Linked DNA regions of Drosophila melanogaster. The protein of the gene in region 1 purifies or fractionates together with the protein of each later gene. This does not show direct contact. Each region holds a gene or a part of one and is shown in the gene's direction. Other genes may lie near its edges.

Evidence for each region. The genes of interacting proteins can lie anywhere in the genome.
Region 2: the proteins of CG5355 (region 1) and CG2767 purify together in Drosophila melanogaster (affinity purification with mass spectrometry, with the first as the bait; one large-scale study listed by BioGRID). This does not show direct contact.

Annotation. Positions count from the first base shown.
Region 1 is NT_033779.5:10,409,645-10,415,255, reverse strand, and holds CG5355 (uncharacterized protein), read left to right. Parts: upstream 1-1,792; 5' UTR 1,793-1,825; coding exon 1,826-1,931; intron 1,932-2,036; coding exon 2,037-2,632; intron 2,633-2,688; coding exon 2,689-2,831; intron 2,832-2,891; coding exon 2,892-3,051; intron 3,052-3,113; coding exon 3,114-3,233; intron 3,234-3,294; coding exon 3,295-3,375; intron 3,376-3,433; coding exon 3,434-3,825; intron 3,826-3,892; coding exon 3,893-4,165; intron 4,166-4,219; coding exon 4,220-4,619; 3' UTR 4,620-4,719; downstream 4,720-5,611. Other genes in the region: Klp31E (Kinesin-like protein at 31E), read right to left, coding at 1-272, 337-475, 599-654; RpS27A (ribosomal protein S27A), read right to left, coding at 4,866-5,015, 5,205-5,525.
Region 2 is NT_033777.3:8,004,569-8,010,529, reverse strand, and holds CG2767 (uncharacterized protein), read left to right. Parts: upstream 1-2,419; 5' UTR 2,420-2,562; coding exon 2,563-2,634; intron 2,635-3,017; coding exon 3,018-3,198; intron 3,199-3,565; coding exon 3,566-3,693; intron 3,694-3,753; coding exon 3,754-4,313; intron 4,314-4,381; coding exon 4,382-4,430; 3' UTR 4,431-4,606; downstream 4,607-5,961. Other genes in the region: CG3223 (uncharacterized protein), read right to left, coding at 1-352, 411-827, 901-1,042; CG11052 (uncharacterized protein), read left to right, coding at 1,479-1,683, 1,738-1,754, 1,869-1,978, 2,030-2,147; CG2698 (uncharacterized protein), read right to left, coding at 4,614-4,773, 5,250-5,276, 5,667-5,816, 5,883-5,961.

The DNA of each region.
Region 1 (5,611 bases):
ACAGCCAAACTGAACTGCGGACTTCCACCAGCCGCTGGATGTTCTGAAGTGCTGGATCCCTCCAGTTGTTCGATACCACTGAATATATGACGAACAGCCCGTGGAATAATGCCAAGCTGAACGGAATCGGATGACTCCGACTCGTGGTCGAAACCAGTGCCCATTGTATACGTTTTTCCCGATCCTGTTTGCCCGTAGGCGAGTACGGTGGCATTATAGCCATGGAGGGTACTATCTACTAATTTTTCCACGCAGTCCGAGTATATATCACACTGAAATGGTTAATAAAGGCTAATGAAACTTAAGACAAGGTGGAAATTAGTATGACAACTTTACCTGATTGGAATTGGTATCAAAAACATAGTCGAACGTAAAGGCTTTGTCAGATCCAAGAAAAATCTGAGGCTCTCCAAGAGTGACGGTCGTGCAGATACGACACATATCTATTAGCTCCCTCGAGTTTTGAGGTCGGATTCTGAAAAAATATACAATATTATATGCTTTTAGGCGCACTTAACAGATATTCAAATTTAAACTTTTAGAATTTCAAGCTCTTTTATGGTCATAGTTATTGTTTTTTGAATTGTAATAATCTTACCTGACAGCAACACGTACTGAACTATCCTTATTTATGGAGTCCACTTCGGAAATCATATTGCAATCTGAAAACAATTAATGTGAATTAAATTAAATTCGCAATATATTTAACACCCGGATATTATCTAGAAGGCCGTGCTTAAGTCATACACCTTATGAAATACTCAACAAAATATTTAGTTACAAGGTCACTTCTAACAAAATTGTTAACTCAGCGAAAATAAATAGATGTCATAGGAAACCCGTAGAAAATCGCCCATTGTTATGAACTAATACTACTAATCCAACTGCACTGTATAAAACTGAATAAGTTCTGTATTACCTTTTAGATCAACATAATAACTAGTTAGCTAAGTTAATACATTCAAAATGTTTGTTTATGCATACAAGCTTAGGTACATCCATATGCGCCTACAAGTTGCTGATCAAGAAAAACATACATATGGAAGGAAAATTTGTGAAAACTTCGATTTCCCAGCACAATTGATGTACGAAAAGTTCAAGCAAAGCTACATACCGAACAAATAAAGCGCTTACTGGTGGCTAACAAATTAAACGAACTAAAAACAGCGCGGAATTCCAATTCAATTCATTTACTCGGTCCGTTTGACTTGATTCGATTGTGTTTATATTCCGACTCGACTCGCCTCCCGATACCAAAACATATGGTTTAACAGAGGTAATCTGTTCACGGACCGATTAATTTCGAGCCACAGTTGGCTGTGTCACACCTGACATTTGCGGTATTTTATTGGGGGTGCTCTTGCATGAATTTCTAAAACTAAAGCAATGGTATTTTCTATACGTGTGCGGTATATTTTCAAGAATAAAGCTACTACCTTGGTGCAGCATTTCGTACCGACTAAAGGAACTTGGTTTATATTGCTTCACCAGTTGTTATTGTATTTTATAGTTAAATTAAACAGTGGTTTTAAGATTTAATCAAGATTGATTTCAACACGAATACGTAAATAAAAGCTAACAGTTGCTAAGTTTACCTATATATTAAAATGTTTTTCAAAATCTGTCATAGCATCTCGTTTTGAGCATTCAAATATTTAAATAAATAATAATATAATATGTAAAATTACAAGAGAAATTTCTTTTTAAATTAGTTATAAGGAGGCGGCGATATATAGTTCGCAGTAGCAAAATTTAAGGAGTGCCCCTAACACCTATCGAAACTATCGCAAGTTAGTGTCCCATTTTTGCATTGATAATTTTGCAAATGCATACCATTTTTCGAGGACCGCTGCTCTACCGCCGAATTTGTCAAATAGTTGTACCCAAAACGCTGCCCAGAAATTACATTCATCGAGAATTGCCTTCAAATCGTAAGTATACACATATATATATATAGCTAATGGGGATGAGTTGCAAAAGCCGAAAAGCGAAAGATTAATACATATATTCTCATACGTGTAATAAATCCAACAAAGTTACCAGAGCCATGCCAAGTACTTTGTCCGCTAAGCTCGCGTATCCAGTTGCTCGGAAGGATGAAAGCGTGGCAGAGGACTTTCATGGCACCCAGATCAAGGATGTGTACCGCTGGCTCGAAGATCCGGACTCCACGGAAACCGAGGAATTCGTGAATGCCCAGAACAGCATAAGCCGGCCTTTCCTCGAGAATGGAGAGGAGTGGAAGAAACTGAACACGAAGCTTACCAAGCTGTGGAACTATCCCAAATACGGATGTCCCATGCGTTATGGCAACTATTACTATTACTTTATGAACACTGGCCTGCAAAACCAGAGCGTCATGTACCAGCAGAAATCGCTGGGCGACGAGAGTGAAAGCAAGGTGTTCCTGGATCCGAACACCCTGTCCGAGGACGGTACCATCGCCCTGACTCAGAAGGCCTTCTCCGAGGATGGCAAGTACATGGCCTACGGCCTGAGTGAAAGTGGATCCGATTGGATCAAGATTCTCATTCGAGATGCCGAAACGGGCAAGGATCTGAGCGAGGTCCTTGAAAAGGTCAAGTTCTCGGAGATTTCGTGGACAAAAGACAATAAGGGATTCTTTTATGGTGTGAGTACTGGACTCTTTCGTCCTGGTAATTCAAATTCAAGTCGTTTATTTCTTAGAGATACCCTGACCAAGATGGAAAAACCGATGGATCTGAGACCAAACAGAATGAGAATCAAAAGTTGTACTATCACCGGGTGGGTGAGAGCCAGGATAAAGACACACTGGTGGTCGAATTTCCGGAAGAGCCTTCGTGGCGCATGTAATGATCTTAAATTGTATGGTGTTGAAACATAGATTATAATCAATTTTCCAACTTTAGCCAATCCACCGTCTCGGATTGTGGAAAATACCTGATTCTGGCCATTGTTAAAGATTGCCGTGACAACATTGTGTTCTATGCTGATCTTACGCCAGGTGCGGAAATAACTTCCAAACTGAATGTCAAGAAAATTGTGGAAAAATTCGAGGCGGACTACGATGTATGTAATGTTTTCACAGTCTTTAAAATAGTAATGTATACATGTTTATATCATTATTTCAGTACATTACCAATGAAGGCTCGAAGATATTCTTCCGTACAAATAAGAATGCACCAAATTACCAAGTTATTGCCATAGACTTCAATAATTCAGCGGAGGACAAATGGGAAACGCTTATAGCCGTAGGTTTAGTTTGTTTTTAAACGTAGATAAGATTAATCACGACTACTATACGTTTTATAGGAGCACAAGTCGGATGTTTTGGACTGGGTTAAGTGCGTTGATAATGATAAACTGCTCGTTTGTTACATCAGGGATGTGAAGGTAAATAATAACCTATTAGTCATTCATCTATATGCCTCATTCCATATTCGTTCTTCAGAGCGTTTTGCAAGTGAATTCCCTAAAGGATGGCACCCTACTGCGCGAATTCGACTTGGATATCGGCACCATTGTAGGCACATCGGGAGAGAAGAAATATTCTGAAATATTCTACAACTTCTCGTCCTTTTTGAATCCCGGCTCCATTTATCGATATGATTTCAAGACACCTGACAAGTCGCCATCAGTATTCCGCGAAATCAAACTGAATTTGGAAGGATTCCGTCGCGAGGATTACGCCGTTGAGCAGATATTCTACAAGAGCAAGGATGGCACCAAGGTTCCCATGTTCATAATTAGGAAAAAACGTGATAGTGTTGAGCCGCGACCATGTCTGCTTTACGGATACGGAGGCTTCAACATCAGCATGCTGCCTTCCTTCGGACTCTCTGGGTATGTTGAGAAATACTTTTTAAAAGTTAGCATGTATATATGTGAACACATCCTTCAATCTCTGCAGGCTTATGTTCATCGACACATTCGATGGTGTGCTCGCCTATCCGAATCTGCGAGGTGGTGGCGAATATGGCGAGAAGTGGCACAACGGCGGTCGCCTGCTGAACAAGCAGAACGTGTTCGATGACTTCCAAGCAGCTGCCGAGTACTTGATCGAGAATAAGTACACGACCAAGGATCGTTTGGCCATCCAAGGTGGCTCCAACGGAGGCCTTTTGGTCGGCTCGTGTATCAACCAACGTCCGGATTTGTTTGGAGCTGCTGTGGCTCAAGTTGGGTAAGTAGATAGCCTGTTTGTTGTGACCAAGTGAGAAATATATTGATTTCATAGTGTCATGGATATGTTGCGCTTCCACAAGTTCACCATTGGCCACGCTTGGTGCTCGGATTATGGAAACCCATCGGAGAAGGAGCACTTTGACAACCTGTACAAGTTCTCGCCGCTGCATAATGTGCACACTCCGAAGGGCGCCGAAACGGAATACCCATCGACTTTGATCCTGACCGCCGACCACGACGATCGTGTCAGCCCTTTGCATTCGCTCAAGTTCATTGCGGCCCTCCAGGAAGCTGTTCGCGACTCGGAATTCCAGAAAAATCCCGTTCTGTTGCGCGTCTACCAGAAGGCGGGCCATGGCGCTGGCAAGCCGACATCGAAGAGAATCGAGGAAGCCACCGATATACTGACTTTCTTGTCCAAAAGCCTTAACGTCGACATAGTTAACGTTTGAGTGGTTAACCATAAACAAATTGCATTTCTCAAGGTCGAGTAAAAATCGAGTATACAAAATGTATTCAATATTTTCACAAATAAACCATACACCCTAAATGAAACTTTAGTGTTTTGCTAAACAATTACTAACCACGCTAGTGCTAACTAACAATAAAAAAAAAGGAAAATTTCAGCGATTGAATTTATTATTCAATTACTACCTTTATTTGATTTCTGGAAACGTACATGATCTTATGTAGCAAAATTACTTTTCCTCTGGTTTGCTGAAGACAAAGGTCAGGTTGCACTTGCCGCAGTAGTGACGATCTTCGTGGGCAGCCATGAAGACGCCGGCGCCGCAGTTCTCACCAGGGCACTCGCGACGGAGACGGTGGATCTTGCCGTTCTCGTCAACCTATGGAAAGGAAAGAGCATAGAAAGTGATTAAATACTGAGATCGTACACATGTTCATTCAATATAGGGCACTGGTAAAGTCACTCTGATATCCAAATCTTAAGCCAATGAGCACAAGACCAAGACTCAAGAATTCCAAGAACAGATCAGAATGTTTTCGGTATGGTGTCGGTAGATTGTTGTGTGTACCTTGTAGTATTTCAGGACAGCTAGCTTGACCTTCTTCCTCTTGTGCTTGATTTTCTTGGGAGTGGAGTAGTTCTTCTTCTTGCGCTTCTTGGCACCACCACGCAGGCGGAGCACCAAGTGCAAAGTGGACTCCTTCTGAATGTTATAGTCAGAGAGGGTGCGGCCATCTTCCAGCTGCTTGCCAGCGAAGATCAGACGCTGCTGATCTGGAGGAATTCCTTCTTTGTCCTGAATCTTGGCTTTGACATTTTCGATAGTATCCGACGGTTCGACCTCAAGAGTGATGGTCTTGCCCGTGAGGGTCTTAACGAAGATCTGCATCTTGTATTCCAGTCACCAAACTGCAAGAAACAAAAAGATGTTGGTATAGATATGTGTGTTTATATATATGGCATTGCTACAGCTAA
Region 2 (5,961 bases), on another chromosome or scaffold:
ATGGATCCGCTGCTGATGGCTCCACTGCTGCTTCCTGCGCCTGTTCCCGCTGCTCCTCCAACGCCTGCTAATGGCGCCGAGGTGGTTCTAGGTCTTTCATCACCCTGCACGGCCTCGTCCGCGTTTCTCTGCGCAATATTCGACAGTGAATTAAACGGGGTCACGTTAGCCAATGCGTTAGCCAGTTGCTGGCGGCTAATCTGACGGATGTTGGCCATCTCATCACGCCGATTGGCGGCCGCGGCAGCTGCCACGGCTGTGCTGCTGCTTCCACCACTGCTGCTGCTGCCTGCACCCAGAGAGTTTTCCTCCTCTGACGAAGTAGTAGACTCCGAAGCAGCTTGCTCCTGCACTAAAAAGGAAGAAACGGGTAAAATATACAAATCAAGAATAGATACGGCATTAGTTACACTGCGTGGCCGAGCTATTTCTGGCTAGCTCCTTGCGAATGGTGTCCACTATGAATGGAGCGGCCTCGCAGATGAGGGGATAATCTTTAACGAGATTTTGGACCACTTCCGGCTCGTGCAGCATGTTGAACAGTACGGAGTCGCGAATAAGGGCCTGGGCGCCCAGATTTCGCCTAAATTCCGGATACTCAGCGAGTATCTTCTGCAGAATGTTGAACCGCGAGGTAACGCTGATTTGCAGGTGCGAGGTCAACGAAAACAGCTCTTGAATATGCTTCGTGTTGATTTCGGCGGCGGCTGGCGGCACATACGGCGAGTAACGTTTAATCTTCTGAAAGCAGTGGATCACGGCGTTGGGCTGCAGCGTTCGGTTGAGGGTGTCTGCGTCCTCCAGCACGCGTCCGTGGTGGATGATCTCTGCAAGTGCGCAGCAAATGACTTGACACAATAGAGACAATGGACAGCGATTTGAATCCCGAGGGTCACTCACCCAACTCGCTGGCGTCGAATTGCAAGTGCATCTCTTTGGTCACCACCGCCTTTAGGTAGGCCACATCCCGCGTCAGATCGATGTTGTGTAGGGGATGCACATCGCTCAGCTTGTTCTTCAGAAGCGCGTACACGGTATGCATAGTGCGTTGATGTAGAATCTGCGTAATATTTGTAATTCACTATTTTGTCTGGGTGATTTTGTTTTGTTCAAAGACAGTTCGGAACTGGTTCCAACGAACCGCCTTGAACACAGGGTGACCCTTACATGCCCCGATAGCCCGAACCAGACTGATCGGGTCGACCGACGATTTAAAAAAGGCTAAAAAAGCTAGATCTAAAAATACCGCTCTAGGATTGCTGTCGAATTTTCAACATAAGTGTTCATTTGTTGACAATAAGAAAACGTAACTTTTGCTATTGTTTTTGTTTTACCTTGTTCAAGTCATTTCATTTAAAATGTACTGTTTTTAAAGCCATTGAAATTCAAGGTGACCCAAAATAAAACCCTCAATCCCTATCGACCTATCGATTTTTGACAGTTTCCGCTCCAAATATGTTAAATATACGAGTTGTAAAATGACCTCCCAAGAAACGCAGACTGAGGGTGAACGTAGGAGGGTAACTCTTCCATCTTCGACACCAGATAAAGGTACACCATCCAAAAAAGGCAGCGAGGAGCCCAACCGAATTTCGAACACAGAGTTCCAAAAAAGAGTAACATCGGACAGAAGCGATGAGCCGGTCTTCAGCTGCCAATTCGAAGTGTTCGGCATTGTGCAAGGTAGGGTATTCACAAATCGTATAGTCGCAATAATTAGTTATCTGGCACCAACAGGCGTTTCATTTCGAATGGTAAGAGCTTGCTGGGAAATGGGATCTTCAAAACCCCTTTGAGCTATGGATTTTCTGCTACCTCTTATTGTATATGTGAAATCTCTTTACTGTAATCCAATTACCATGTTTTAGTACACCTTGCGAAGAGCTCAAAAGCTGGGAGTCCGGGGTTGGTGCAAAAACACCAACGAGAATACGGTGAAGGGCGAAATTCAAGCACACCGACATTCCTTTGAGTCCATGTGAGTGATTTTTTCCATTCAACGTTTAATTATCAAGCCGTTCTTTTACAGGCGCCTCTGGCTAAAGCACACCGGCAGCCCCACCAGTCGAATTGACAAATGCATTTTCAGTGAGACTACAGAACTTTCAGAATTCACGTTCACTAACTTCTCCATAGTGGTGGATTAGTTGTTCTCTAAAAGCTTAAAATCATTTAGAAACGGAATTGAATTTTTCTTACACACACTTATACAGTATTTGGATATGAGCTACAAATTTTTCTATTGTTATAATATTAAATCTAACTAAAATGCAAATAAATTAGTCCGATATTTTATAGTAAACGAGCCTTAAACCATTTATGGTAAGTACATTTATTTTTAAATTCGATTGTTTTGTTAAACAAATATCGACTAGTAAGACCGCGCTTTGCAAAAGGCAGAATCTCATTGGATTGGGTGAGATAAGTGGGCCGGTGACTGGGTCGTAGCTTCTTGTTTAATTTCAATTCAATCCTCGAAGCAACAGGTTGTGCCGCATCTTTTCCATTTAATCTGTTACTCAAGTCTGTTTTAGTGTACAAGTTATCAAAAATCAATACAAAATGGTCAACACCAAGTTCTTAACGTTCAACAATGGAGAGAAGATGCCCGTGATTGGCATCGGCACCTGGCAGGTATTTATAATCACGTTAATTCTGTAATTTCATAGATTGCTTGTAAGTGGTTAAATGGATAGTAGATATTCGAATCTTAATACTATTGTTTCAACTTATTAATGACCTCAACAAATCGCTGACACGTCATTTAAATCTCTTGAAATTCCGATTCCGATGCAATCAACAATTTGGTTGGTGCTGGGGGACTTTAGACCGGTTTTCAAAAACAAACAATAAACCACCATTCATATCCACTGGTGGACTGGACTTTCTCTGGTCACGGGAGAATAAATATCGTTGTAAATCGAGTTTGAAGATTTTCGGGTAGTGTAGATTATGCAAATCCTATAATCAATATATATACAATACCACTAAACCGCACTTTCATCACCACAATGCAGGCATCTGATGAGGAAATCGAAACCGCCATCGATGCGGCTTTGGAAGCTGGGTATCGCCACATAGATACGGCGCCAGTCTACGGCAATGAGAAGGCCATCGGAAGAGTCCTAAAGCGTTGGCTGGACGCCGGCAAGGTCAAGCGGGAGGAGCTGTTCATTGTGACCAAGGTGCCACCCGTTTGTAAGTAGCATTTAGTAGTTGGATGGTATTTCAAAATGCCATATAAACATTTATAAATAGTTCCTATGTTCTATGCCCACAGAATCTTAAGATCCATAGAAACCAAAGCATTTTACACCAGCTACCAATATTCTTTTTGATATCTAGTTGATAAAATAAGACTAGGAACGTGATTTTAAAACACCAACATAGACTCCTTCAGTGTTCATAATTTCAATTTAAAAACATTTTTATTATCACCACATGACTCTTTGATATGATAAATGAACCTGATGTGAATGACTATAAATATAGCTGTGAGAGTTTTCACTATTACGAGTCCAGTTATTTCAAAAATAATATAATAATAATATAATCCTTGTTTTAGCCAACCGCCCCCACGAAGTTGAGCCAACCATCAAAAAGTCACTGGAAGATCTGCAACTGGACTATGTGGACTTATATTTGGTGCACACTCCCTTCACAATTAATATCAACGAGGACGGAAGCTTTAAGGTAGTTGTGCTACGGAATCTAATCCCAACTCCTATACACATCTCGAGCATTAACTTTCAGCTCGACAAGGAGGGCCTAATGGAGGTCGACGTTACCACGAACCACGCAGCCATCTGGGTTGCTATGGAGGCCCTGGTGGAGAAGGGTCTCACCAAGTCCATTGGGGTATCCAACTTCAGCAAGGATCAGGTGGCCCGTCTGTTGAAGAACTGCAAGATCCGGCCGGCCAACAACCAGATTGAGCACCACGTTTATTTGCAGCAGCGAGATCTGGTCGACTTCTGCAAGTCCGAAAACATTACCGTAACTGCCTACTCCCCGTTGGGATCCAAGGGAATCGCCAAGTTTAATGCTGGAGCGGGCATCGTGAGAGATCTGCCGGACCTGATGGACATCCCTGAGGTGAAGGAGATTGCCGCAAGCCATGGCAAGACGCCAGCGCAGGTCCTCCTCCGCTGGATTATCGACACTGGTGTATCCGCCATTCCCAAGAGCACGAATCCCGCTCGCCTTAAACAGAATCTGGACGTCTTCGATTTCGAACTGACGGCCGAGGAGGTGGCCAAGTTGTCTAGCCTGGACCAGAATATTCGAATCTGTGACTTTGCATTCTTCCATGGGTATAAAAATATGACTTAGCTTTAATCCCTCTATTTTATTTATTTATTTATTTTTATTTTGTTTACAGTGTGGAAAGGCATCCTGAGTTTACCTTCAAGAATCAGTACACGAACTAAACGGCATAGCTATATAAAAAGAATTCAAATGAACGCAGTAAATTCTTTTCCAAAACATTACTTTGTGTCGAAAGTATAGAAAAGCAACCATTTATTTTGTAACAGTTATAAAAAAAGTAATTACTCGCAATTCGGTCATTATACACAGATAAAATGTAGTTATGATATTTATATACAAATTCTTTACTGGTTTTCTTTGGTATTCAACAGTTGAAATGTCTTGGTTTTCGTTACGATTTTCAGCTCAACAGGTTTTCCCTCTATGACAGACTTTCCATCCGTGTTATCGTTCGTTTTTATTATACTGTCGTTAACAGTTTCGTTGACCCTTCGAGGAATCGAGCTGGAAAACCACTTTCAAATTCAAAAAAGCTTGCATTCAGCGGTAGTTAGTTAGTACAGAAATATATTTGCAAGACATTTTGTATCTAAGTTTAAACACATCACAATTTTACATTAAGCAATTAGTAGCGAGCACGATATCGGTACTTGAAGGCTTTGGAAATGTTTCGCGACTACAAATAATTCGAGGTACATTTTGTATGTAAGAACACTAAGATCGATAGAATAGATATTAAGGAGCGCTTGCTGCATAGACGGAATATTGAATAATATCATAAAAATCAATGTTCGCAAAGCGGTAAGATTAGCAACTGAGAAACGAACAACAATAGTTAAAGGAAGCTCCAGCCTATGTCTAGGTTATGATATTCGGGCCAATCTCATTTTGATTGTCAGGTATTTGGCCACACAGCTTATGTTAGTTCGCAGTTCGAGTATTAAAAGGAAATTCGTAGTTTCTGGTCCATGCCAACTCACGTGGTCCGCTCCTCGTCCGTACTGTTCCTGAAATTCAGCAAAGGATTTTCATTAAATTAAGATATAACAAGGAAGAAGTAAGTAGCTTCGGCAAGCCGGAGCTTATATACCCTTGCAGTATTTATATACTCTTACTCTTGACGGCGGTATAATAAAATATTCTTTTCTGGACCGTTTCTGCATTGAAAGAAAACTTTTGGAAATTTTTCCTTGACGGACAGACGGACATGGCTAGTGAATCCCTGCATTGTAGACTTCTTACTAAAATCCTCTGCAATGGTATAAAAGATTTTAAATCTAAATAAGCATGCCAGCAAATAACTCACTTTAATCCCTGCCGCACAAGTCTGATGTGGTTCATACTTTGCATGCAAATTAAACAAATTCATCGAATTTGGCTTGGGAAAGTCTAATTACCTGGGCTCTTGATGACTGCGCATGGCCAGCGTGGCCACCTCAAAAAGGCCGATGAAGAAGCAAAGCATAAGGGGTCCGAAAATAGCTCCTTGCCAACCGATCCAATACATTCCGCCTGCTATGGCCAGGCCGTTGAGGTAGGGATGTCCACTGACAAATGTTAGCAAAATGATGAGATATTAAATTCCATTTATCCCACCAAAAAAGTGTACTTACCCTTTGAGGTCCGCATATATAGCAGTTTCAAAAGATGATGGCACGAAAAACTGAAGCAGGAACAATATAAGTCCTGCAT